Drosophila melanogaster: one gene and its partners. The protein of the gene in region 1 interacts with the protein of each later gene in a pairwise test. Each region holds a gene or a part of one and is shown in the gene's direction. Other genes may lie near its edges.

Region 1 (8,595 bases):
TTTGAAAGCTATTGTTAGGCGAACTCAAAAGATTCATAGCATAGTAGGCGACTTTCTGTCACAGAACTCAAAAAGTAACTTATTTAATACAAATCAAGAGTTAGCTATCAAGTTATGCCCTACACTTTGGTCTATAATCCAAATCTGATTGCACTTATTTCTCACAAAAAGAGTTAATTGAACTGCTGTTTTAGTTGCTATTTTCGCTTTCATGTGTTTCATTTGTTGTTCACCCATCGTTTATTGTTAGGCAAAACAAATGCATAAAAGAGAACATAAAAACAATAGAGCAGAGAAGTAGTTATAGTAAAAAGCGAAAAGCAAACTATTTAATGACAGTCGCCAACCCACACAAAACCCAGAATCGGAATAGGAATCGCAATCTGAAACTCAGACTCAGAGCATACTTCAATGTGTTGCTACTGGGACACGGTCCAGAAAAAAGTTTACAGGTAGTGTAGTTGTGGGTCCATAGATTTTCGAGATATGTAGGTTCTTTACCCAAGAAAATGTATGTTTTAAACTTAGCTTGGAAACACTGAAAATCTCTGTTACCACCGGAAAGGTGTTGAAAAGTTATTAAAAACAGAAATAGTGTATGCACCGTTCGGACAGGTCATTTGAAGTTCTGCATAATATTTAAATACCCTATGTCAAGGTATTACAAAATAATAAAACAAAAATAATAGCTAAGCAGCTCCACCAACAAAACAAAAGCACAAAGCAACGAACACGCCCCGCTTTTGGGGACGAGTAAAAAAGTGAACAGAAAAGCCATTATCGAGTACAACAATAGTGAAGCTGCCGCTGTTGAGCACTCCACTTGCACTGAAAAAAAATCATCGATCTTTGGTTTTTTTGAGGACATCTATGGTAAGCATCGATATTTTGAGGGCATCTATGATAATCAGCGTTTTAATTCTATTTTTCCGACCTGTTATAATTTATTATAAAGTTATAATTTATCTAGTTATGAATTTTCATATATTTATTTACCATTTTTTTTTTTTTTTAATTTTTGAGATGGTCAAGATCGCAGGTGAAGGAATAATAACTATCAGAGGGTAATGTGACTTCGAGACCAGCCCTTTTCTTCGGTTTCTTGCTGAATTGTGCACGGCAAAAACAATTACAATTTCGCAAACAAAGATAATTTGCGAATGAGATCGACGACACGACACAATGGCACTTTACAACAACAAGAAGAACAACACGACAAATGGGGCGGGTATGGGGGTCTGTCAAGAAAACCTGAATTTCGAAATGGAAGGGCTAAAAAAAAGGTGAAAAATCAGAAATCAGAAGCTTCTTTCCAATTCCAGAAGTCAAAACGCTAATCGGTAATCGACAATTGCTTATCGGTCATCGACAGTTTTCGCGTTTTCAAATTGTTTGTGGCTGGCAATACAAGGTGAATTGTAAAAAAAAAAAATTAATAAGTGCGAGCAAAAAATGCGATCACATAGCAAACAAAGCTGCAAATCAAGCGAAACAAACACGTCGCCCTCTTAACAAGATATAACCGGGTTAAGCACAATAATATATCTTTTAATATAAATACTTATTCATATACGATAGTAAAACTGATAAAAGATAATTTTCAAGAGAATCTGTTAAGATTGTGAACCAAAGTCTGTGCATTCAATTTCCAGCTAAAACCAAACAACGAAAGACAAAAAGAACAGATTGCTAATTAAAATTTATGGGTGTCATAATTTTCCGACAATTAAAAGTCTCATTTTACAGCAAGAAATATTGATTTGGTCAGCAGTACCATGTGAAAAAATATTACTGATATATTGCAAAACAACCATTTTAGATTTCCATGTGCCATAGCTTTGGCTTTCAGCTATAACTTGTTTTAAACAATATAAGCTTATTTTGCATTACACGTTTAATTAAATTGGGACAGCATAAATTTTTGATAATTACAAGCACCTTTTCCAAAATCGAAAGTAAATCAGCACCTGCCGTTTAATAATTCACTTTGGTGAGCAATATTTATTTTTTGCCAACTCCGCGCTTTTTTAAAGAAAATTTTGTAACCGTAAAACACCAATATAACAATCCATTGCATTCATAGTAATTTCCATTTTAAAACATTGTTAATTTACGGAAAGAATAGTTTAGGAAACTTTTAATACAGTAAGTTGACTTAGTAGCAGAAGAATAAACTTTAATATTAAATATTTCTTTAACAAAGTTAAAAACTTTGCTATCTTCCTTACAACCTATGTTAACCACAGTGACAACAATGATCTATGAGTAAGCGTAAAGTTTGCTTAATACATTATATTATAGTTTTGATATTATACTTTCATAAATTAGTATGGTTGGGTAAATGGTTGTAATTAATATATTGAAAAATGTAAGATCTTATGACTGACATGTGACCACAATAGAGTTAAGTTTAAGTTCTTTTTTAATATAGTTTAACTATTAAGCTATTACTCCATGGTTTCATATATCTTGTGGAGTAAAGTGCTGTTAACATGTTCTGTAAACATATGATACAACTTTCCTTAACTCTTCGACCATTGTGCTGTTAAGTTAAAAATACCTCTTAATATACTTTTATTATTGATAAATAGTTTAGATTCATATACATATCTTGTGGCGCAAAGAACTTTTAACATTATCCATCAACTGAATGGAGAGTTTTCAGTAGGAGTGTGACCACTGTGCGCCATCGTTTCGCATCTCGTAATTTTGCTTGTGTTGTTGCTGTTGTTGTTGCTGCTGCTATTATCGCAGCGAGTTGTTGCTGCCGGCGACGATCTTCGTTTTGTCGGCGGCTTCAGTTCAGTTCAGTTTAGTTCGAGTTCGCACTCGGCCACAAACGGTCGGTCGGTCGGTCGGTTGTTCGTTCGTTCGTTCGCTGAAGGAGAATTGTGGAGAAGAAATTGAACCCGTAATCTTCGGAATCCGTAAAGCCGTAGTCCCGTAGTCGTAAGGCGATCGCGAGAATTGAAATTGTGCTGCAACTCAAGTAAAATAATATTGTGTCGCACAAGATCACTGCGTGTCGCGCTCAATTAAATACACATCTTTTTTTTTATATTTTTCCCCCGGTCTTTATTTATTTTTTTTTGTTTAATTTTTTTTATTTGCGCTACAACGTTGTTATTTATATTTAATTGTTTTGTAACAACAACAACAACAGCAGCCGAGTTAAGTGCGAAAAGTGAAGTGAAGTTTGTCGGCGAGTGAGTGCGAGTGCGCACAAAAATTGGAGCAGGTTCCAGAGATCTTGAGATCTTCAGAACTAGAGATTCCCAGTTCCTAGGCTCCCGGGTTGCGACTTTTGGCGGCATTGGCGTTCCCCTGGTAATTTAATTGAAAGTGATGATCGTAGCCCATCCATAAAGCCACTTACCGGTAGTTCCCCCATCCTTTCACAAGTTCAAGTTCACCGACCACGCGGACTCCTTTTTTCGCTCTTCCACCCGCTCTCTCTTCTCACTCTATCTCTCTTGATCGCTTGCCCTTCTTTCACTCGAAGAAAATACAGTGCACACTCGAGATGGTGAATTTGGATTGGCCATTAATTGCTCCCAGTTTGGGTTATCATACTAAATCTTTGTACAATATCTTTGGAAAAAGATTAAAACCTAACTTTAAATAAATAGTAATAATTACTGCTGTACAACTATTCTTTTTTTTTTCTGAGTGAAAAGCTCTTTTGTCTTTCTCGCCAAAAGTGCGTTGGATTTCTTTACATTGTGCCTGGTTCTCTTCGGTTTACACACTCGGTACATTGCACCCTTGGTCCCTGTTTCCTTTAGTGTCGTCTTTCGCTTTCAATGCATTTTGACAGTGGATTGCTAATCGGCCAGGTATTCGCAGGCCACCTTATAGCACCTACCATATATACCCATCGTACATCTACATACCATTCATACATACAATCGCATTCGCATTCGTATATTCGCATTCGCATTCCTGTCGCCGTTGTCATTTCCTCACCTCATCGGGCACCGCCCTCTTGCTTTCACGCACCTGATGATAAACGGCTCAAATTTTGATAATGTGTACGGATTGTGCTGCAAATTGCTCAAATGGCTAATCAGCTGTTGCTAGCACATATGTATAACCCCCTATACTCCATATCTTTCCAATGAAATCGGCGGGAAATTGGCTTTGTCTCGAGTCTTATCGCATGCCAAAAAAAAAAAACGAAAAATCAAAAGGCAAAAACCCAAAACTTAAGTCTGAGCTCCAAGTCTAAACCAAAACCGCAACATCATCTCAATATTTCCTTAACCACAAGTGCACAGAGCAAACAAGGTCTACTATTACTATTGACTAATTAGGCATTCTTAAGATATAAAAATATATAAATAGAGCAAAATGGTATAACAATTATAATCTATATTATCTAACATAATATCCAAAACCGTGGTGTGCGTGAAACGTGCCCTAATTTTCGCTCTGTGTGCGTGCATCAGCGGATTGCTGATAAGTGGAGAATGTTTATTGTCATTACCTGTGTCCCACTACCTGTACATTCCCCTACCCTGCGGTACTACCCCTCCGGTCGATATGGTATTCCTCATGCAATTTGCGGTTGTCACAGCTATTAGGTTTAGATAGTCCACTGTAGCGGTCTTATCAATGGGTTGCTTTCGCTGGTCAGTCAGTCAGCCAGGTATCTCTGTACGTACGTATGTTTGCCATGCCAGTATTATGATAGCGATCGTCAGTGGTTTACTTCGCTAATGATCCTCGTCGCTCAGCATGGGAACATCGCATCTGTATATGCCCACTAATCCCACTCGTATATTTTGGCTTTTTTGGCTTATCGCGATGGTCATTTAAATACACGTAGGAATCGTTGCGATCCCATCATATACATACAAACGTATGTGCCCAGATATTTTTGGGATACCATTTCCTTTCTTCGGGCTCTTTCCAGTTAATATCTTTTTAGTAGTTCTTAGAATTAATTTATCATATCATATCACTCACTGAACTAACTAATTTGTCCACTTAATGGATACAACTCATGATTATCAAGTGATCTCTGTGAATACCAATTCATTGACTGATAGATGATCACACTCAAATAAAATCGCTATAATTTCCGATGATTATTGACTATGCTTATAAGTCCTTAGCCCTACTGAATGATCTCAGCTAAATTCCCCACCAAACTTTTCTCACCCACACACGAAATGCCGCAATGTCGAGTTAAAATTATTCGATGGCAAGAAAAAAAAAACAGAGATTAAATAACAAAATACCAAAAAAAAAAAAAATTGCCAAAAAAGTCAGCTTTGACTAATGCGCTGCATTGGCGGTGCGATCATTTTTTGGCGATCACTTTTTAGCACCAGTTGAGCTACCATGTGGGCGCAGCGGCAGCCAAAATAGTTGGCCAAGAGTCTCGAGGTCTGAAAGTCGCACTCTTGTTTTTGTTTCGACTTTGTTTTGCTTTCGGCTATCAACAGCTAACCGCTGCGCCCAACTGTTCCAATAGAAAGCCAGTTAACAGCGATACGCTCCGGTTTTCTGTCTTCTCTCTGTTTTTATTATTGGGAAGGGAGATCGAGATCGTTGGATGGGAATCGATCAGTTGATTCGCGGTTCGTAAGTGTCTAAATATAGATTTCGACCATATTTGCTGGCAAATATTGGCCATGAGTGTGCGGCGGGCTGAACCTGCCTCAATTCAAGTGGCACAGTATCTGTATCTGGGCTCCTATATCTTTATACATATCTTTGTACATATATATGAGTATTTGCGAGTGAGTGCACGTGTTTTTGTGGCAGACGGCAGATCGGGCAACATGTCACCCCACGCGACATGCCACATACTACATACTACATACTACACATGCTACATGCAACATGCCACATTTCTCCATCAGAGTTGTTCGCTTCTTTTCATTTTTCGCGTCGGCATTCCCAGCGATCTGATGTCGACTACCAAGCTCGAGCTCCCTTAATAAGTCTTAATCTATATGTCAATATTTTCTTGTTTAGTTTCCAAACACAGACAGACACACACGGCCGTGTTGGATCCATATCTGCATCGTTTTCTGTTTCTGAAAATGTATCTGTATCTGTATCTTTATCTGTACGTGTGTTTGTGACCGCAGAAGTATCTATATTTGCTGTGTATCTTTTTGGCCAGCCAATTCTCCTTCGCATCCACATCCACATCCATATCCACCTCTTCCTGGTTGTGCCATGCCTCACATCTCGCATTCAGACAATGCCCGCGTATTCATAAACAAGGCCTTCGCATTCGTAGTCGCATTCGTAGTCGTATTCCAATTCGTCCGCCTACTGTCCCTCATCTAGTTCGCCTCCTTCTGCGTTGGACGCCTCAAGATTTCAGCAAGTTGGTGCCACTTCTCGGTTGCCATGCGCTGCTGCAAACAAAATGTTTCCTTCATACCCAGTGATCCATGCGGAAATGTGGTATGCGGCTCTTGGGGCAACATGCCATTGTATATAGAGAAGGTTTTTGGGCAAAGATCTTGGCGAATCAAATACAAATTATTGGATACAGTGATTTCTATTTTAGGAACTCAGTTTCCAAAAGTTTTCACTCGTTTTCGTATTGGATATATTGCTTAATGGATTTGTGGACATGTAGTAACTAAAGGGTAAGGGGTATCATCTGGTCGGTGTCCTCTACCCAAACCATTTTGAGTTGTTTTTTTTTTTTTTTTTTTTTTTTTTTTGGTGCGTTCTGTTTGCCCACGGCTGCTGATATGATATGATATGTATGGTTGGTTGGGTTGTGTTGGCTGTCCTGGTTGCGTCTGTTGTCCATGCAAACTGTCGTCATTGTATTGTGTCTCCGTCAGTTCGGTTTGTTGGTTTGCTGGTTTCGTTGAGTTTTCACTGTGTCTAGAGGAAAGTAAAAGCCGCCTCTTTCGTCCGATCAGAAAGCCATCGAAAAGCTATGAATCCTATCGATTAGATACTTCAACCGAGCTTATGCGAAGCTGGTCTAACCACTCGCTAACTGACCTTGGTCAACGCGATCTGCATTGCCCGTATCTACAGATATAGATACGCCGCAGTGTATGCGTATACGTTACGGCAGATAAACGATACTTTGCTGCATATCGCATGTCGATTGCAGTGACGCCAATGCAATTGTGCAGATTAATTAAAGGGACACTTGTTGTTCGCTGATTGGAACCATTGGCTGATGGCTGACCCACATGCATTTCAATTGGCAAGTGGCACTCTGAAAAATACACTGCTAGAAACTGAAGGTGAATCTTCAGATCATAAATAAACTTGCAAGCACTTCTTTTCTCAATTGATTGCATAAAAAAGTCGAGGAAATGAGAACTTGTTGACTCAGTTTTCCCAGTGCAGCCATATTTACTTCAGAAATCAATTGAGAGGCCATAAAATGCGATCGATTTCGCCTTGGCGACAAAATCACCTTCGGACCAATTGAGATTGAAAGGCCATACCCATCCATCCCCATCCATCCCCATCCATCCAATCCATCCAGCCCATCATCAACATCATTAAGACAATCATCATCATAGAAGGAGAGAGGGAGCTAAGTGTGTCTCTCTCTCTCTCTGTTCTGAGTCTGGAAGCCCAGTAAACGGGCTTATCATTCAATTTACACTTGAACGCTGGTTTATCGAAGAAACGGGGACAAAGGCCAGAAGAACGGAGCGATAAAGATTCTACTCTTCCGAGAAGATTAGACGTATATGCCCGCCGAAATCTCCGAACGTTGCGTGATTCTCGTTTAATCGTATCTGAAAATGATCCCAACGCTTTAATATCACCACAACACAATTCATTTCAATTTCACGCTGATATTTAACCTTAACACAAATTTAATAAATAACCGAGGCGAAACCGAAATATTCATAACACCAAATCGACATCATGTTAACCCATGAGATCGATCCGATCGACAGACTCGTTAGGTTTCATATTGATTTCGTTATTGATATTTCATGCTTCAAATATCTCGAATCGACTCTTCTAACACATTTGGCTAATGAGCTCCCAAAAAAATAAGTGGTCAGGTCAACAAAAGCAAAGACCAGTTTGGATGGGCAGTAGTAATAAAAGATGATCGAGTGTAATCTCAAAAGAAGTGCTTTATTAATTACAAAATTGGTTAAAAACTTAAGAAGCAACAACACGTTTTGCAAAAACAATAATTTACCACCTTTAAAAGTGAATTAATTACCAAATTTCCTTGTTAGCCAAGTGCTAACAAAGTGCTTAAGTTATAATTCGCTGGCGAAACAATGTGTCACAGTCATAATCCTCAGAGTTAGAGTTATATATCATTTTTCGCGAAAAGAAATTCTATATATGCCACCTTGAAACTTCGCTTATTTTGCGTACCATTCCATTTTAAGTACGGCATTATCCATTGTCCATCGGTATATTTCTGATCGGCAATTTATGCAGCAAATAAATACAAATAAACAGCTTGAAGACGACACGCTCATTTTGTATGCACTTAAAGCTATTGTGATTTGGAGATGGGGTATACCCCATAAAAAAAAGCAATGGAAATGTGGGGGGTTGGGCAGGTGGAGTGGATCGTTGACTTGTATTTTTTTCACGCTTCTCGTTTGATTGCCAGCGATT
Region 2 (8,001 bases), on another chromosome or scaffold:
GAACTTCGCACAGGACAGGCGCAAGGAGATCACTCATACCCTGTGGGTTATAAACCAAAATATTAAGGACAATTTGAAGAAGCGAGCTAACCATTAACTGGATCTAGGACCCACCTGGGAATAGGACATTCCGGTGTTGTATACGGCAAAGTTAAGCAAAATGTTTTTCATGACCTCGGTATTGGGATTATCGTCGCCGCAGAAGAACGGATTGGTGCGATCCGTGCGAACCACATCCTTCTCCACCACAATCTGCACGGTCTTCCAGAAGTGAATTTGCTGTTCTGGGGACATCGAGTACAGGCGCTTTCGCGTAATTTCCTCGTACTCCTGCCGCTTGATGTCCATGAGCACTGCGCGATCCTCGAATGTCGAGGAGAATGAGTAGCACTTTAGAAGGAATGGCCACACCGTCTTTCGCAGACTCTTTTCCAAGCCACCAAAGAAGACACATTTCCGGAGCAGCAAGTCGTCCTCGATCTGTCCCTTCTCATTGAGCAGCGTGCCGTAGAAAAAGTTCGTTGTTATCTTCTTGACATCGCCCTCGTCCGGATGCATTTCCGATTTCTTAACCTCCGGCCGACAGACCATGAAGTGCCTGTACGGCAAATCGAATTTATCCTGGCCCGTTTCCGATGTGATGTTGTGCAGAAAGCAGTGCCACTGGTGCAGCACCTGGGCCAGGTGATCCAAGCCACCGTAATGGAAATGTAGAATCTTGTACTGCGACTCCCGCGACGCGATCACCAGCTGACCCGAAGTGCAGTTGTCGTCATTGAAGAAAAGGCGCAGAGATCGCATTTGGCTTAGGTCAACGGAGAAATGGCGGCACTTCATCGCGGATTTTTGGCGATCGGCTGGCGTCGAATTGCCGCTATCCGGGAACTCCAGGTTGTGCTTGAAGGCCAGCAGTTCAGGTGTTGTCCACTTTGGGTTATCGGTTGCCGGGCCATCGCCTACTCCAGAACCATTCGTGCAATCGGAGCAATTGTTACTATCCGGCCGGATGGTGATGCAGTTGAAGGACTGCGATATATTGCTGTTCTCGATCTGCGGATTGGAGATCGTTATGTTCACCGACGTGATGGGGTTATTCTTCAGCAGAGCGGTCAAGTCGTCTATGGATGCAGCTTGGCCACCCAGCAGCGGTTGCAGTTCGTTCTTTAGCTCCTGCATATCCGCCGCGTTCTCATCCTCCTCCCGAATGTCCCTCTCCTGGATCGTCTGCGGTATGGTCACGTGGCAGTAGCCGTTTCGAGAGTCCGGCGACTTGCTCCTCGGATTACACTGACCCCGGCAATCGTCGGCATTCAGATTGGTATACTTGCATAGCGACGAGTTCGGTATCCAGGTGAGCAGAAGCGTGGGCCTCTTGGCGCTATTATACTGATCTACAAAGGTCTTTGTCGTGCAGGTCAAATAGCCCGGATTGTGCAGTATATCCGACTCATCGCGGGCGATTGTGGGCGGATGGATGCAGACGTTATTCTTGCAGAAGAGGATTTCGTTGTCTTCGTAAGCAATATCGATTTTTCTGTCCAATCTCTCGTCGCCCAGTATGAAACTAGAAGCCTTTTTGATAATGCTTCCTATGGGCATGGTCTCGAATTTGATATCCTTGAGCGGGTAACTACTATATGGTGAATTATAGGTTTCCTTCCCGGAGTTATCCTAACGGATTTACTAGTGGGCGGATGGGGAACTTTTTTCTCTGGTTAGCTTCTGGTTTGGCGGATTTTTGTTTGATTATGGCGGTCGCTGGTTACCATAATTTTAGGAATTGGTTGGCTAAACCTTTGATTCGACAATTAATTGTAACACAGCGGATTGGTGAAAAAAAAAACTATTAACTTTTGATTCTAGGGACCTCTCACAAGCAGGATGACATTGGAGGAAAAGAATTTACGCGAAAACTCAGCGCAGGCGCAGTTAACAGTCGATGGTTTTAAGACTGGTTTCGATATTTAATACTTTAAAAATGTTGAGGATTTATTAATTCAAACTGCAATGAAAAGGTATATTTTTAATAACAATGATAATATATTAAATGCGAGTAGGTGTATATTAATATCTTCTTATTCAGCTTGCAAATCAATCAAATCTAAGTCTATTTCTATAAGCTTTCTTCACATAATCATACTATATATCAAATGGAATACAAAACATATTATATATACATTAATTAAATATAATTTAAATAAATTTTAGAAACTACAGGAACATTGGTATTGGAACAGCATATGTTCCAGCTATCGATATCAGACTTACCTTCACTAACGTAAATAGAATCAATAGTCGCTTAAAAATATTGACATTGCATTTAGTTTTGTCTTGAGTTCTTGATAAAATGGCGAGCAAAAGAAAGCACCAAGCATCCCAGAAAGTGAAAGAGGAATCCTTCAAGAAACACACGCTTGACTCCGATGAAGAGGATTCTGACGACTACGAAAGGTAATGCTTAAAATGTGCAAACAATTGATTGTTTTGATTTCGGCACTTTTTGTTTGCAGGGAATACCTCAATGATAGCGACATTGAGGGCGGCGAGGAGGGCGTGGCAAAAGTGGAAGACGATGTGAAGGTAACACCCTTCAATATGAAGGAAGAACTGGAGGAGGGACACTTCGACAAAGATGGTCACTACCATTGGAACAAGGAGACGGAAGCAAAGGACAATTGGTTGGACAACATAGACTGGGTTAAAGTAAGGATTCCATCACTGCTGCCTGTACACAATCATTTAATTTAAAAGCAATATTTGCCTAACAGATTGGCACACAGAAGAACGCCTTCGACCCGGCAAAAGATGAAGAAAACTCTTCCGATGAGGAGAAGAACGAACCCGTGGGCAAGGCCTTTAACTTGTCCATGAACCTCATGAAAATGGTCGAGTTTATGAAACCGGGAGAGACTGTCAAGATGACCCTGCAGCGTCTGGGTAAGCAGCGCCCCGTCCTAACAACCCTTCAGAGGATTAAGCAGAAAAAGGCCGGCATCGTTGACCCAAAGACACAGGAAATCTCTCAGCTCACCGAGCTGGCCAACGAGATTCTCTCGAAGACGGGCAATATGGATATATATCAGGATACGTACGAAAGCATCAAGGCCAAGATCGCCGATTTGCCAGGAACGAGCAAACCTAAAGTAGCCGATGATATTGATATGTATGCAGATGATTTCGAAACGAAAGAATTGGAGCGCTCTAAGACATCGTCGAGTGATAGCTCCAAACCAACGACGACTACCTCAGAGGTGACCTGGGAGTTTAAATGGTCGCAGGATGAGACTGATATCCAGGGACCCTTTTCCACGGAGAAAATGTTGAAATGGTCCCAGGAGAACTACTTTAAAAACGGAGTCTATGTGCGAAAGTGCGGCGAAAACACAAATTTCTATACAAGCAACCGCATAGATTTCGATTTGTACTTGTAGGCCTTAGTTAACAAATGTTAAATTCTTTGGGTTTTAACATGTTTTCTGCAAATACTTTGTTCTATAATTGTATACTGTATACTTTACAAGAGGTTTCAATTAGTTTGCACTTGGTTTGGACTTAAAATAAAATTCATATTCATATTGATTCTGTCGGCTCTTAAATTTGGTCAGATATACCAAATTATGTATCCGAGTTACTTGCGCTAGTGACGAATAGCGAAAGATTCTTCTATTAGACCCACTAGTTCAGTAAGAGATATCTGATAGTCGAGAAACTCGAAAATGGCACTGTTGTTTTTGAAATGTGCAAACGATAGTGTGGCAAAAGTATCGTTTGGGCGGTGATAGTGCAATCGATGAATGTGCAGCTTTAATTTAAGCTTGTGAGTCTTGGCAACTCTAGAAACACATCGATTAACGTAGCTGAAAATTGTTTTATGTTTAATTAAATACAGGCGAATAGCTCAAGATCTTTTTGGTGTTATGAGCGTTCAAAAGTCACTACCGTTTCCCACTTAATACTTTGTTAACTGTTAAGTTCGTGCAGCAGTTCCCCAATTCTTGCAGAGGAAACAAATTTACGAGTGCTTCGGTGTTGTTGGACACACACTCACTTTTCATCGGTGGAAAATCAAATTTGGGACCAGGCGCAGAAGATTCGTCAGGATGACGACCAAGCACATCTATTCCACGACCAATTTATCAGATCTGCAATTAAAGGAGCAGGGAAACTGCTTGTTTGCAGCCCGAAAATATGACGACGCAATAAATTGCTACTCAAAGGCCATCGTAGGTGTCTCACATATTTTTGTTATTGTGATGTGTATTTTGTTGTTTACATGTGCACTATGCTCCATATAATATGTAGATAAAGAACCCCACAAACGCCACATACTTCACAAACCGAGCCCTCTGCAACCTGAAACTGAAGAGATGGGAACTGTGCTGCCAGGATAGTCGGCGCGCCCTCGACATCGATGGGAATCTGTTGAAGGGTCACTTCTTCCTGGGCCAAGGACTCATGGAAATCGACAACTTTGACGAGGCTATAAAGCACCTTCAACGGGGTTAGATAATACCTGACCTTTGATGTTCTCTACACTAACTAACCATATATGAAACTTATAGCATACGATCTGTCCAAGGAGCAGAAGCAAAACTTTGGGGATGATATTACACTACAGTTGCGACTAGCTCGCAAAAAGCGCTGGAATGTTATGGAGGAGAAGCGAATACAGCAGGAAATCGAGCTGCAAAGCTATTTAAATGGGTAAGATGTTATTCGAATTCTCTAGATGCCTTTTGCAAACTAAATTTAGTCACCGCACGACGATATCGAGGCAATTGTTGTCCTCATGTGATAGAATATATATTAAAAAAAGCGAAATTTGTGCAAAACCTAAATATTTATGTTTCAGTCTAATAAAAGGGGACATGGAAAGCCGTTTGGCCAATTTAAAGCTGAATGGAAATGTACACGATGAGCAGCTGAAAGACAAGCAACAGGAAATTGAGCAAGAATGCGTAAGTTGGACTTTAACCAGAATATTTAGCGGAGTTGACAATCTAATTTTACTTTTTAGGATGACCATATTAAGGAACTTAACAATATATTTTCTAAGGTTGACGAACGTCGAAAGGTAAGAAACTAAAGGAAAAATAACCAATATTAAAAATATTGTTCTAATATTGTTATTTACATATTACAGAAACGTGAAGTTCCCGATTTTCTATGTGGCAAAATAAGTTTTGAAATATTAACAGACCCTGTGATAACTCCATCTGGAATTACGTATGAACGAAAAGATATAGAAGAACACTTGCAGCGGGTTGGACATTTCGATCCTGTGACACGCGTTAAGCTCACTCAGGATCAACTAATACCAAATTTTTCAATGAAGGAAGTGGTTGACTCTTTTATTGCCGAGAATGAATGGTCTTTAGATTATTAAGTTACTTATTAGTTGGCATTGTCATTGTAATTGATTAGATGTTAGAACCCAGTTCCCATTGTCTAAAAACCAGATAAGTGATAATAAATGTGGATCTGCAATTGAGATTTATATTGTAAATGGATAAATTGTAATTATTAATAAATTAAACAGCATAATGTTCAAAATATAAATAAAAAAGCTTTTGCACGATATCGATAGAGAGTTAGCGGTAGTGTGAAAACAATATAGTTTCGATCACCCGTTCCAGTTAGTCAAAAAGTTGGTGATATCTTGACCAAACAAATTATCGATATACAGCTGCTTACAGATTTGCAGAAATCATTTTCAAAGAAATTTGTTTATGTGAATTCACAATTGGATTAACTTCGCTCTTCTTTGTTTAGTATTTATTTAACAATAATATGGATTCGTCTGAAAGCCAATCGCAAATGGATGACCAAGATGCTCGCATACTGCGTCTGCAAAATCTGATCGAAAAGAATATTGAGATAGGTAAGTTAAATCATAAATTACTAATATCTGAAATAACTATATGAATTGCAGAGCAACAAATCGAAAACAACACCATCGGAGAGTCTATCACGGCCATAGAGGAAATCATTCAGACAGCCAACGATATCAGCAAGGGACATGAAGACCGCCGTACAAACTCCACGGAACTTGTCCTGGACACGGAGCTACTGCGTCGCAATTTCGAAGTTGTGGGAAAAGCTATCCAACATAACACCAACGTCACGGATCGAATGGTGGCCACGGCGATCGTAGGTGCACTGTGTACTTTATTTATGCCTGATCGTAATGTTTGATCCTATTACAGAACGATTTGGTTTTCAAAGAGAGCGAAGAAGATTGGGATGCTCTTTGTTCATTGGCTATTCAGTTCGGAAGACCACTCTTCACCAATGATAGCATGCTGCCCTTCATAGATGTTACTCCAAAGGTGGTGGTTCAAAAGCAACGTGCTCCTCGCAAAACGAAATCTCAAGTAAGTCATTTGTTAAACAATTTCTCACAGTAATATTTGTTCATATTATTATGGATCTTGTAGGTAGATGAGAAGCGTCCAGAAAAGAGTGACCAATTGGAACGCAAGGACGAAGGAGCAGCGTCCGTAACCCACATGCTGAAGCAAATAAGACAAATATATCGAGATGGCAATCAAGAGCCGATTCCGTACTTTAAACTGATTTGCAATCCAAACAATTTTATGGACACCGTTCAGAACGCTTTGCAACTGTCGTTTCTTGTCAAGGAGAACTATATTTCCATCGAAAATGGCGAGGATGGTTTGCCATTGGTTCGCGTTGTGAATTCCAAATCGGTCGAAGGAAACGCACCGTCCCAGGCTATTTGTTCCATCGATGTTACCTTTTGTGAGGTTCGTATTTCAATTATTGTTTAAAGCATTATAATTGATATGATTTAAATTACAGAAAATGGTAAAGCACTACAACCTACATGAGCCAATGTTAAAAAGACTTCCGGTTAGTGAGAAATAGATATATCACTTAGTTCATATTAATAGTTTATATTGTTATTAATAAAACACATAGAACGTTTAAAGTTACTCATGTACGGCATAAATAATCGGGTAATTGAAAGTGTTCTTTCCCCCAAACATTAAGTAATTAACGTAATATCAACACAAAATCATTAAATGAATTTTATTACTCAAGCAGTTACTTCATAGTTCAAACACTTCCCCCAATATTTTACTACGAATCCGCCCCTGCCATTATGTCAATTTTTATGACCGCCTACAAATTGTGAAATATGTAGAAGGGGCACTTGTGAAGTTATAGCAATATAAAATGTATGTATGTTATATTTAGGAACTAAATATTAGTTAAGTTGTTTACTTATAACTTTAACCAGTTTCGGATTATGTTCTTAATCCGTTTTTCCTGGTCTCAATGGGTGGCATACCAAGAATTAAACAAATAAATTACTTTGCAGAGTGGAATAATGAATGAATGAATGATTGGTCCATTAATTAAAAAATCACTCCTGTGCTCGAAATTAGTGCACTTTCCGTTGCACAGCGGCTTTTAATTGAATTCCGTTAACTTAATTCCACAAAGAGAAATTAAGATTAATTAAGATTTATTGCACAATGAAGCTTAGGGTTAATTGCATCTTTGCGGTCGACGGAGTTTAAAAGGCTTTCTATGGAGTATAGCCTTTTCTAAGAGATCAGTGCTTCTATTCAAACTGGATGTAGTAGATCAAGTTACTCGATGCACTATTGTCTGAGATTTTGGGGCTTTCAACTTCATGTGGGCGAAGAGAGTTGACCCAAGTGCAGGAAACTAAGCTAATGTGTAATTATATATAAAACCAAAATGAAGATTTATTGCTCCATATCAGCATAGCAACAAACGACCCAATTAATAGCCACCCAATCTTCAAAATACAAAATTAATGATGCACAAGCGCAGTTTCAATAAGTTGCCAAGTTGGGTTTGTCTTAGTAAATTCCATTGAAGAATTCTACTTCTATGAAAAACTTAGTAAATGCATTATGCTACTATGAGTTTGAGCAAAGAGAAAATAGTTTTTTTTTAACTGGAAAATTATTGAAAAAATGTATTGTTTTTATGCATATGCTGCAA
Region 3 (8,746 bases), on another chromosome or scaffold:
ATGATACAAGATTCGAACGATACGTGGGAAATATGACCATGGTCTGTGGCTACGGAACCGAAAAACGACATGCTAAGCTGCCCGAATGGATGCGTTGCATAGAAGTGGAGGTCATGAATAACACGGAGTGCGCCAAATACTATACGCCATTGAAATGGTATGAGATGTGCACCTCCGGCGAGGGTTTTAAAGGAGTTTGTGAGGGTGACATTGGTGGTGCGGTGGTCACAATGGGGCCGAATCCAACCTTCATTGGCATCATATGGCTCATGCCCGAAAACTGCAGCATTGGATATCCTTCGGTACACATACGCGTCAGCGATCATATAAAGTGGATAAAGCGTGTATCCGGAGTGGGATTCTGTGAGTATTCCAAATATGAACTATTTTTTTTTTACTAATAAAGGTGAATGGCTAAATTGATTCATTGCAGAACAAGGATGTACGTTTTAATAATGCTGCCCATAAAATAAACAGAAAAATAAATCAAACAAAAATACAAAAAACAAAGTTTTTCTGGAAACAAAGCATGTCATGTCATGTCATGTTTTTAAAAAATATTAATAAAAATTATTGTAAATATTCTGCAAAATGCAGTTTCTTATCTTAACTCTGTTAGTTATTTGAGTACACAGTATCAAATATTTTACAGCTTGGGATTAGCACACCCAAAATACAGGACTCCTAAAAGTCTACTGCCGTATTTAAACTTATTAAACTAAAATAATTTGGTTTGTATTGCAATTTGGGGATATTATATATAACACAATCGTTAAAGTGTTAAATTTATTGTTATTGTAGCCCTGTTACAGTTGAAGTTGCACTATTTGCTTTATTTCGCTCTTTTCTGTTCAGGCTGCGGTTCTTTAGCGCACATTCATTCATTATCGCCATATATATATATATATATATATATATATATATGTGTGTGTATATATATGTATATCTGTATATGTAGTGTGCGGTTCGTCTGGTGTGGCAATAAAAATGGCTTGAATATTTTTCAGTTTGTTATGCATTTTCCTGCCACTTGGGCAGCAACAACAATTATGAATAACTCGCTGCATAATGGCCAGCAAGCTGTTCCCATGAAATTCCTGCATCGATTACCGGGGGTTGGGATATATATTCATATAAATGTATATATATGTATATGTGCATATATCACTCCGCCAATTACGTGGCAAAGGGAACTGAACTGGGAACTGGCAGTCCCGGCGACAGTAATCAAATAATTGTTGCACTCACTGTCATACGTATCGCACTTTGGCTTTAATTATTTGCACAGTTTTTCACTCCGCAATGGACACGTCGTAATAAGGATATGCGGATAAAGTCCTGAATATGCCAAAGATTACTCGATTAATGCAAAGCGGTTCAGTGCGGCATTTCAATTGCAATTGTTTACTATGCAGAGCAGCAAATTGTTAGTTAACTTCTGGTAATAAAAAATTCACATATATGTACCTAATCGATTTCGAAACGAAACAAGTAATCCGAAATTTGTTTTCGTATATGTCAGCAGCGCTTGTATTTCGAAATACACCGATTCGTAGATGTGATGTTAAATATTTGATAAAACACATTTCCCAGTGCCACGACTTTACCAAAATTATTGAGTTTCCTGATCATCTCGCCCGTGCCGCATAAAATTCGCCTCCATTCCCGGCATTCCGATGGACTACAGCTATAGCATTGGCTCCAAGTCGCCAGTGTTCATCAGCAAATGTGCCCCGTACAACTTTCTGCGGGAATACCGCCTAGGCTGCGATTGTAAGAATATACCAGCTGTCACACTGGTTAAGGAAGCCCGCAACGCTTGGCACGCACTCAGTGACCAGGAGCAGTCCTTGTTCGAGGAAGTCCCCTATTTGATGGCCCAATTCGGACCATCCATCGAGTCGGCAATGAGGTTAACCGTCAATGTCCTGTCGCCTCAGCAGGTCACAGTGCAAAGGACGCGCTCTGATGTTCAGTCAAGTAAGCGTAGAATCTGTCGTGGAAATGCCAAGACGCATAGGAAGAAGCGGCAGCAGAAGATGGGTGCAACGAGCCGGAAGCGAAGTCCAGGGATTGGAAGTACCAGGTGTACCAGGTATACATCCCAATTTCACTGGGAAAACCCGCCTCTTTAAAAACCTTGATGAACCCTTTTGACCACCGGATATGCTAGCAATGGAAAATATAGGTACACTGCAATCAAATGTTTTTTTTTTCTGGGAGCTTAAAGGCTCATTTGGGTTTCAAAATGTTATGGTTTAAGTAAATAACTTTGCTGAAAGGTAATTTGATAACTGCATTATTTGTTGCGCTTATCGCTTTTCAACTTAATTTAACACCATTGTTTTAGCCAAAAGCTTTCGATTGGTTAATCTATTAAATTACGCTGTAATTTGAAAATTAATTCGAAAAAGTGTTGTTTTTGTTTCACGCCCTGACCCGCTGATAACCTTGCGACGCCCACCCGCCCACTTGAAATCGAATACGAAATCGAATGATTCATCCACGCACAAACGGAAACAGAAACATTTATTCCACTTGAACGGACTTCATTGGCGATTTAATTGTTGCGGATTTTTTACAGTAAATTCCATTAAAAACTTTTTGAAAATGCATATTATTGAAATTCATATATTCGTGCTTGTTGTTCGGATTGCTGGAGAACAAATTTTGTGGCGCCTATTTAATTATCCAATTACAGCAGCACCATCAGCAGTGCGAGAAATTAACTTAAATGCGAAAATATTCGCCGACGGCACTTTAAACATTTCCATTTTAAAATCAATGCGAAAATGGGCGTGGCATGTGGAGGACGGGGGGGGGGGATGTTTTGGGCTTCTGGTTGGTGGGGCGGAAGCCAAAACACAAACACGAAATATTTCGGCTATCACTTTTGGCTGAATGCGGATGCGGCGGATTCGGTGGATTCGGTTTGGGTTCTGTTTTTGCTTTTCGGTTTTTACTGTCGATATTTTGCACTGTTTGCCAATGTTATTTGTTTGTTATTCCTTGGGCTTTGGTTTTTGCCGACACACGCAATTTTGTGGTCCATTAAAACAGTCAACGGCAGCAAATATCGCTGGTCATGAAAAATTTAATAATTCGTTTAAGAATTAGATGGGATGTAACGGTCGTAAATTAATATGGCCCGAATTAAGGAGAATTAAAAGTAATTCCAGAATCTAAATTTGAGTTTCCAATTTTAAAATATGAATACTTCCATTTAAGTATATTCATCCAAAGACTGTGACACATATTTAGGTCACATAATTGATTCATCAATAAAAAAAATATTGTTCAATTAATATTTATATCGCGCGATATCAACGTTTTGCTTGTTTTTGGTGTGGCACTGTAATTGTACCGCGATAAGCTACGGGCGATTTGTACCTGAGTTGGGTACCGCACATCTCTGATAGCCTCTAGTCGCGTGGAAATTGGCTCAAAACAACAGCAACGGTCGGGAAATTCGTGGAAAACCGTCGAACGAATATAGAAAACTCTACAAAAACGACCAAAGCAAGGTCAAGTAAAGAGACTCACTATCTCTGTCTCGCTCTGCTCTCTGTGGATTGCCACGACTAACGTCACCGAGCGAATGACTCACTGTGACTAATTTTATGGGACTGCACTGTGCCAGTGCCGCTCTCGCTCACGTTCGCTCGCTCGCTCTTTGTGTGGGAGAGCGTATGCGCGCAGCGCTTCGTTTAAGCGACTAACGCACGCGAACGAGCGAGACAGCCGTACAAGCCAGTTGAAAGAGCGAAAACTACAGTGAAAAAACAAGTACAACAACTGCCAGCGGAGGCAGAAATTTTCTTCAATCGCCGCGAAGATTTCACAGCGTTTGGGCGTGTTTTTTCCGTTTCTGCCACAGAAAATCAGCAAATCCCCACATATGCGGGCCCAATTAATTCATAAATAATATACCGACCGAACAGAAAGAACGCCGTCACGGTTCTGCTTTCAATTAAGAATATTGATTTGACAACTTTCGCGATAAATCAAACTCCACTTCAAATTCGCATCTCTCTCTGTACGCGATTGCTTGAATGTGTGTGTGTGTGTGGGCAGAATTTGTATTAGTGCGTGAGCAAATTATTGTATAATCGCCAAAAAAAAAAAACAATAAAAGCAAAACGCCAACGCGAAAAGCAAAAGCTATACAATTAGAAAAACTAGCTGAGCTGCGATACAAGGCAAAACTAAATTGTGTGACTAAAATTTGTCTGTTGAACAGAAAAAAGAAAAGTACAAAATAGTTCAAAAGTACAAATATCGAAGCATTCAAAAACTGTCTGACCTACTGAATTGAATGAATTACCCCAAAGTAATTATAAGTTAAGCTGCCACAAAGAAAACCAGTTGAGCCACTGGAAATCGAGCACGAAACCAGCTGATCCACTGAAAAACCCTCTGCCCCCAGCGCACAAGCAACCCATCGAGCTGCTGAACCCATCGATTGCCCAGTAGTACCACCAGTACAGTAGCCTTCATCATGCAGGCCATCAAGTGTGTGGTTGTGGGCGACGGAGCGGTGGGAAAGACCTGTCTGCTGATCAGCTATACGACCAACGCCTTCCCCGGCGAGTACATACCCACGGTGTTCGACAACTATTCGGCGAATGTGATGGTGGATGCCAAGCCCATCAATCTGGGCCTCTGGGATACGGCTGGACAGGAGGACTACGATCGCCTGAGGCCGCTATCCTATCCGCAAACGGATGTCTTTCTCATCTGTTTCTCACTGGTGAATCCGGCATCGTTTGAGAATGTGCGAGCCAAATGGTTTCCCGAGGTGCGTCATCATTGCCCGAGTGTGCCGATAATCCTGGTCGGCACCAAACTGGATCTGCGCGACGATAAGCAGACGATCGAGAAGCTGAAGGACAAGAAGCTAACACCGATCACCTATCCCCAAGGACTGGCGATGGCCAAGGAAATAGCTGCGGTCAAGTATCTGGAGTGCTCGGCCCTGACCCAAAAGGGTCTGAAGACGGTCTTCGACGAGGCCATACGATCCGTGCTATGTCCTGTCGTTCGAGGACCCAAGCGGCACAAGTGCGCCCTGCTCTAAGAACTTTGAACCCACCCAAAACAAAAACGCGAAGAACTTCAACAAAAACAAAAAAAAAAACGAGAAGAGAAGAGAACAAAGCGCAAAATTCTGTGCAAAATATTCATATTCGCTTTGTTGGGTCTTTAGTTACAGCAGATAGTGTGTGAGTGTGTGTATTGTGTGTGTGTGTGATGTGAGTGCAAGTGTGAGCGCGTCTCTGGGTTGCGAGTGTGACGGCATGAGTGTGTGAATGAGTGAGCGTAGTTTTGTTTTTATTGTCAGCTTTATGTGGGGGAGCAGCAGCCACAAAAACAACAACACAGCTATCAGCAAGGGGGCTACACAGGGTGGGGGCGGGGCCAGGGGTCTCTGGGGGGCAGATCACGGATAGAAAGATATACACATAAGCATATAAGTATGATATTGTGCGTACACAGTAAAATAAATGTGGAAGAACTTCTAAAACTTGAGATATTTGATGTAATATTGCTCAAATTAATTTCTATATTGCTCTAGATAACATGTTTAAATTTTTCTGTTCTGAGTTATTGTTTCGTAGTATTTTTAATGACTAACTTGTTTTAGAATTTAGATTAAGTACAACTCATACTTTTGCGCTTATGACATACAAGAATTAACATTTTAAAAATGATTTCGACTAATTAAAAAAACATTTTTTATATAATGTTAATTGCAAAAAAAGAAATTTTGATTTTCGCAAATAGTAATCCATAAATTGCCTTAAAACGCAAGTGCATTATATTAAACAGCAGAAATTAGAACTTTGCAAATGAAATTCGGCCTGAGAAACGTATGACAAATCAAATAAAATTAATTGTAAATAAATCTAGACGATTTATAGCCTTTAGCGCCCCAAACGCAGTCACTATAACCAGTACCAGATAGCCGTTATCTGGGTGTGGAAGAAAAACCCCAGGAAAGGCCCCGCCTATGGCCAATATCTGAACAATCGGGGAATGTGGGAAGCCGACAAAAAAAGAACTTTCATTTATACATATAGTATTTAGAGTTACGTGTGAATGTGTGTGTGTGTGTCTGATCAATGGTCTTCCCGCTCAACGCATTTGCCTGGACTTGATTTAATGTATACTAAATGCACAATTAGCCTCTACTTTGATGTTAATTTATATACTGATATTTATGTTAAATAAATGCATACATTTTGCCAATTTGTTTTAACGAAAGAGAGCGAGCGGTAAATTAAAAAAAAAGGAAACACTTTATTTATATTAACACATAATTTATCAATAAAGAGTGTAATATTAATCAACCAAAATAAACGTTTGTACAAAACTAAATAGTCGGATGAATTATGTTGGGAGCAAAGTGCAATTCAGATTTATGTCTATTATGGAAGTAATGTGGGTATATTTAAAGGTTTTCATAGTTGGCAATGCAATGGTGCTTGACCCCTGAACTGCTGCATACTTTTCGGCTAGTGGGGAAAATTGCACACGCCTGGCAACTTTAATCTTATCTGCACCCGCATTTGTCACAAATTTTAGATAATTATTTCCGATTGCCGGACACGCCGGAAGTTCTGATCCCCGGACCGGTTGACTAAGCAATTTGCCAGTTTCAGTCCTATCATACATACATACATACATATGCCTATATACTATAATGGCTACATCATATTTATTTATGTCTTTATGCTCCGCTTTCTTTCAATTCTATCTATATCTATAGAATACTTCGATTGTCATAATGAGCCAGCTGTTGATTGATTGCCCGCGGATACGAGTATGATGAGGGGCTGGTTTGGGTGATTTGGGTGTTTTGGGTGGGTGGTTTTCGATGGCTTTGCGGTCACCGTGTGTCTGCGGCTCGTTAGCGGATGTGGGCATGGCCCCACACTGCCGCTGCTCAGTGTGTGAATTTGACAAATAATTACATAAGACAACCTGCTGTGCGAATTGTGCCCATCCTCCCGCACATTTCAATGGCCACTGATGGATGTTTTTGCCACACCACCATCACCAACCCATCGTGTGGTTTTGTCTGTGACGCGACGAATCGCATAATTGACCCACATTTTGAACAAACACCGCGGCACCAGGCAGCAATCAAAACAGAGAGAGGCCGTAAAGGATAGGGAGACCAACGAAGTCAATTTAATTAGCAAAAACATTTGGCTAGCATCTAGAATTTGGCTGCACCTTTAGAATTTGCACTTTTGGCTCTAGAATGCACCGCTGAAGAAGCCGCTGAGTGAAGACGCGTTGACAGGCGTGGAATGTTCGGCATGTTCAGATACAATTGCCCTACTACATTGCATGCAGATACTTTGTAACAGAACAATACCAAATTCATTTATAATCAATTTCATAAACGAGATCCACGTGTTTGCAAGTTATACAAATAACAGTTTTAAATGTATAGGTTTCTTTGTGCTTCATGCTGGCTTCAATTAATTTCCAAATTTTCCTACGTCTTTAAAAAACATTTCATACAAAAAAGTCTGTATAGTTAGTTTATAAAATTCCTCTAAAATGCAAATGACTGTGCTTTTTCCAATGTGAAATTTATTTCTCACCTGTAAACAGCAGCATTCCAATGCTCTCATAAATAAAAGGCATATAATAAAATTGGCTTGATTTTCCCTTTAATTTTCCATTTACCAACCACAGTCCAAATTTTAGAATGTGAACGGTATTATTCCTTGATTATCACCCCATCCCCCTCCCATCAAATCGAAGTGGGAAAACTGCAGAATGGCCAATACCGCTAAGTGGACAACTGCTGTGCGATGCAAATCCATTGACAAGTGTCGCATAATCATGCCCCATGCCAAATGTAAATGCAAATGGAAATGGCAAATTTATGCACTGCATGCGTGAAATTAAAAGCTTCCCCGGCGGACTTACAGCTCCATTTGGTCCTGATTTTCCAGGGCCAGGTTTTGCAAAAGAGGCTTGCGCAATTTGTCCGTTTTCAAGCGGTTAACAATTTGGCTAAATCAATTATACGCTCGGTGAGCAACATGGAATCGTGGCGATTTTCAGCTTAATTGAGAGATTTCCAGCGAATTCGTGGCCGTTGGGAAAAGTGGAAAAATTTAATATGAAAATTTCCGAAAGAATTCCTTGCTGGCCACAAATTTCGTACAAAATGCCAATAAAATACGCTCCAGCGTAAAAATTCCATGCCACATAAGATGAAGGTAAATTCAGGTGAGCTTGGCGCTGGGGGAGGTCAAAATATTTCACACTTCCGGTGTGGAAAATGCTTGCACCTGATCCTCTGCCAACAGGATATGACAAGCTCGGACACCTTTTCACATCCCCGCCCAAACCACCCAGCTATTTTCTCAGCATATTTTCAGCGGCAACTTCCTGCCAGAAAACACATTGCAAATTATGATGCGAACGGAGAATGGGCGGAAATGTTGAGTTTTCCAAAACAGCCAACTAAAAAAAAATAAATTCATTTGTGCGCTGTGATGCTGCTATTGGTTTTGGCTGCTCATGGAAAAACAAAAAAATATAGGACAAATCGATTTTACTCAAACTGGAAACGACTTCAATACAGATCAATAAACGTTGAAATAATGAAAAACAATAGTTTCCAGCTTTTCCCAAGTTAACTCGAAATTACAACATTTTCAAATTTCACATTAAGATGCTGAATATTTAAGCGGAATAAAACGCGATGCTTGCTGTGAGC

The links. The genes of interacting proteins can lie anywhere in the genome.
Region 2: the proteins of spri (region 1) and STUB1 interact in a two-hybrid assay, tested with the Drosophila melanogaster proteins (one large-scale study listed by BioGRID).
Region 3: the proteins of spri (region 1) and Rac2 interact in a two-hybrid assay, tested with the Drosophila melanogaster proteins (one large-scale study listed by BioGRID).

What each region holds. Positions count from the first base shown.
Region 1 is NC_004354.4:10,579,642-10,588,236, reverse strand, and holds the start of spri (sprint), read left to right. Parts: upstream 1-2,814; 5' UTR 2,815-3,327; intron 3,328-8,595. UniProt on the Drosophila melanogaster protein: Potential Ras effector protein. May function as a guanine nucleotide exchange (GEF), by exchanging bound GDP for free GTP.
Region 2 is NT_033779.5:10,433,739-10,441,739, forward strand, and holds STUB1 (STIP1 homology and U-box containing protein 1), read left to right. Parts: upstream 1-3,809; 5' UTR 3,810-4,100; coding exon 4,101-4,223; intron 4,224-4,302; coding exon 4,303-4,501; intron 4,502-4,562; coding exon 4,563-4,704; intron 4,705-4,852; coding exon 4,853-4,958; intron 4,959-5,017; coding exon 5,018-5,074; intron 5,075-5,143; coding exon 5,144-5,386; 3' UTR 5,387-5,502; downstream 5,503-8,001. Other genes in the region: TBC1D16 (TBC1 domain family member 16), read right to left, coding at 1-40, 115-1,599; holn1 (hole-in-one), read left to right, coding at 2,348-2,451, 2,511-2,703, 2,769-3,431; Nse4 (Non-SMC element 4), read left to right, coding at 5,791-5,881, 5,933-6,150, 6,207-6,374, 6,438-6,767, 6,823-6,888.
Region 3 is NT_037436.4:7,430,263-7,439,008, reverse strand, and holds Rac2 (Rac2), read left to right. Parts: upstream 1-3,818; 5' UTR 3,819-4,498; coding exon 4,499-5,077; 3' UTR 5,078-6,247; downstream 6,248-8,746. Other genes in the region: sphinx1, read left to right, coding at 1-363, 434-435; CG14835 (uncharacterized protein), read left to right, coding at 1,677-2,135. UniProt on the Drosophila melanogaster protein: Involved in integrin alpha-PS3/beta-nu-mediated phagocytosis of Gram-positive S.aureus by hemocytes.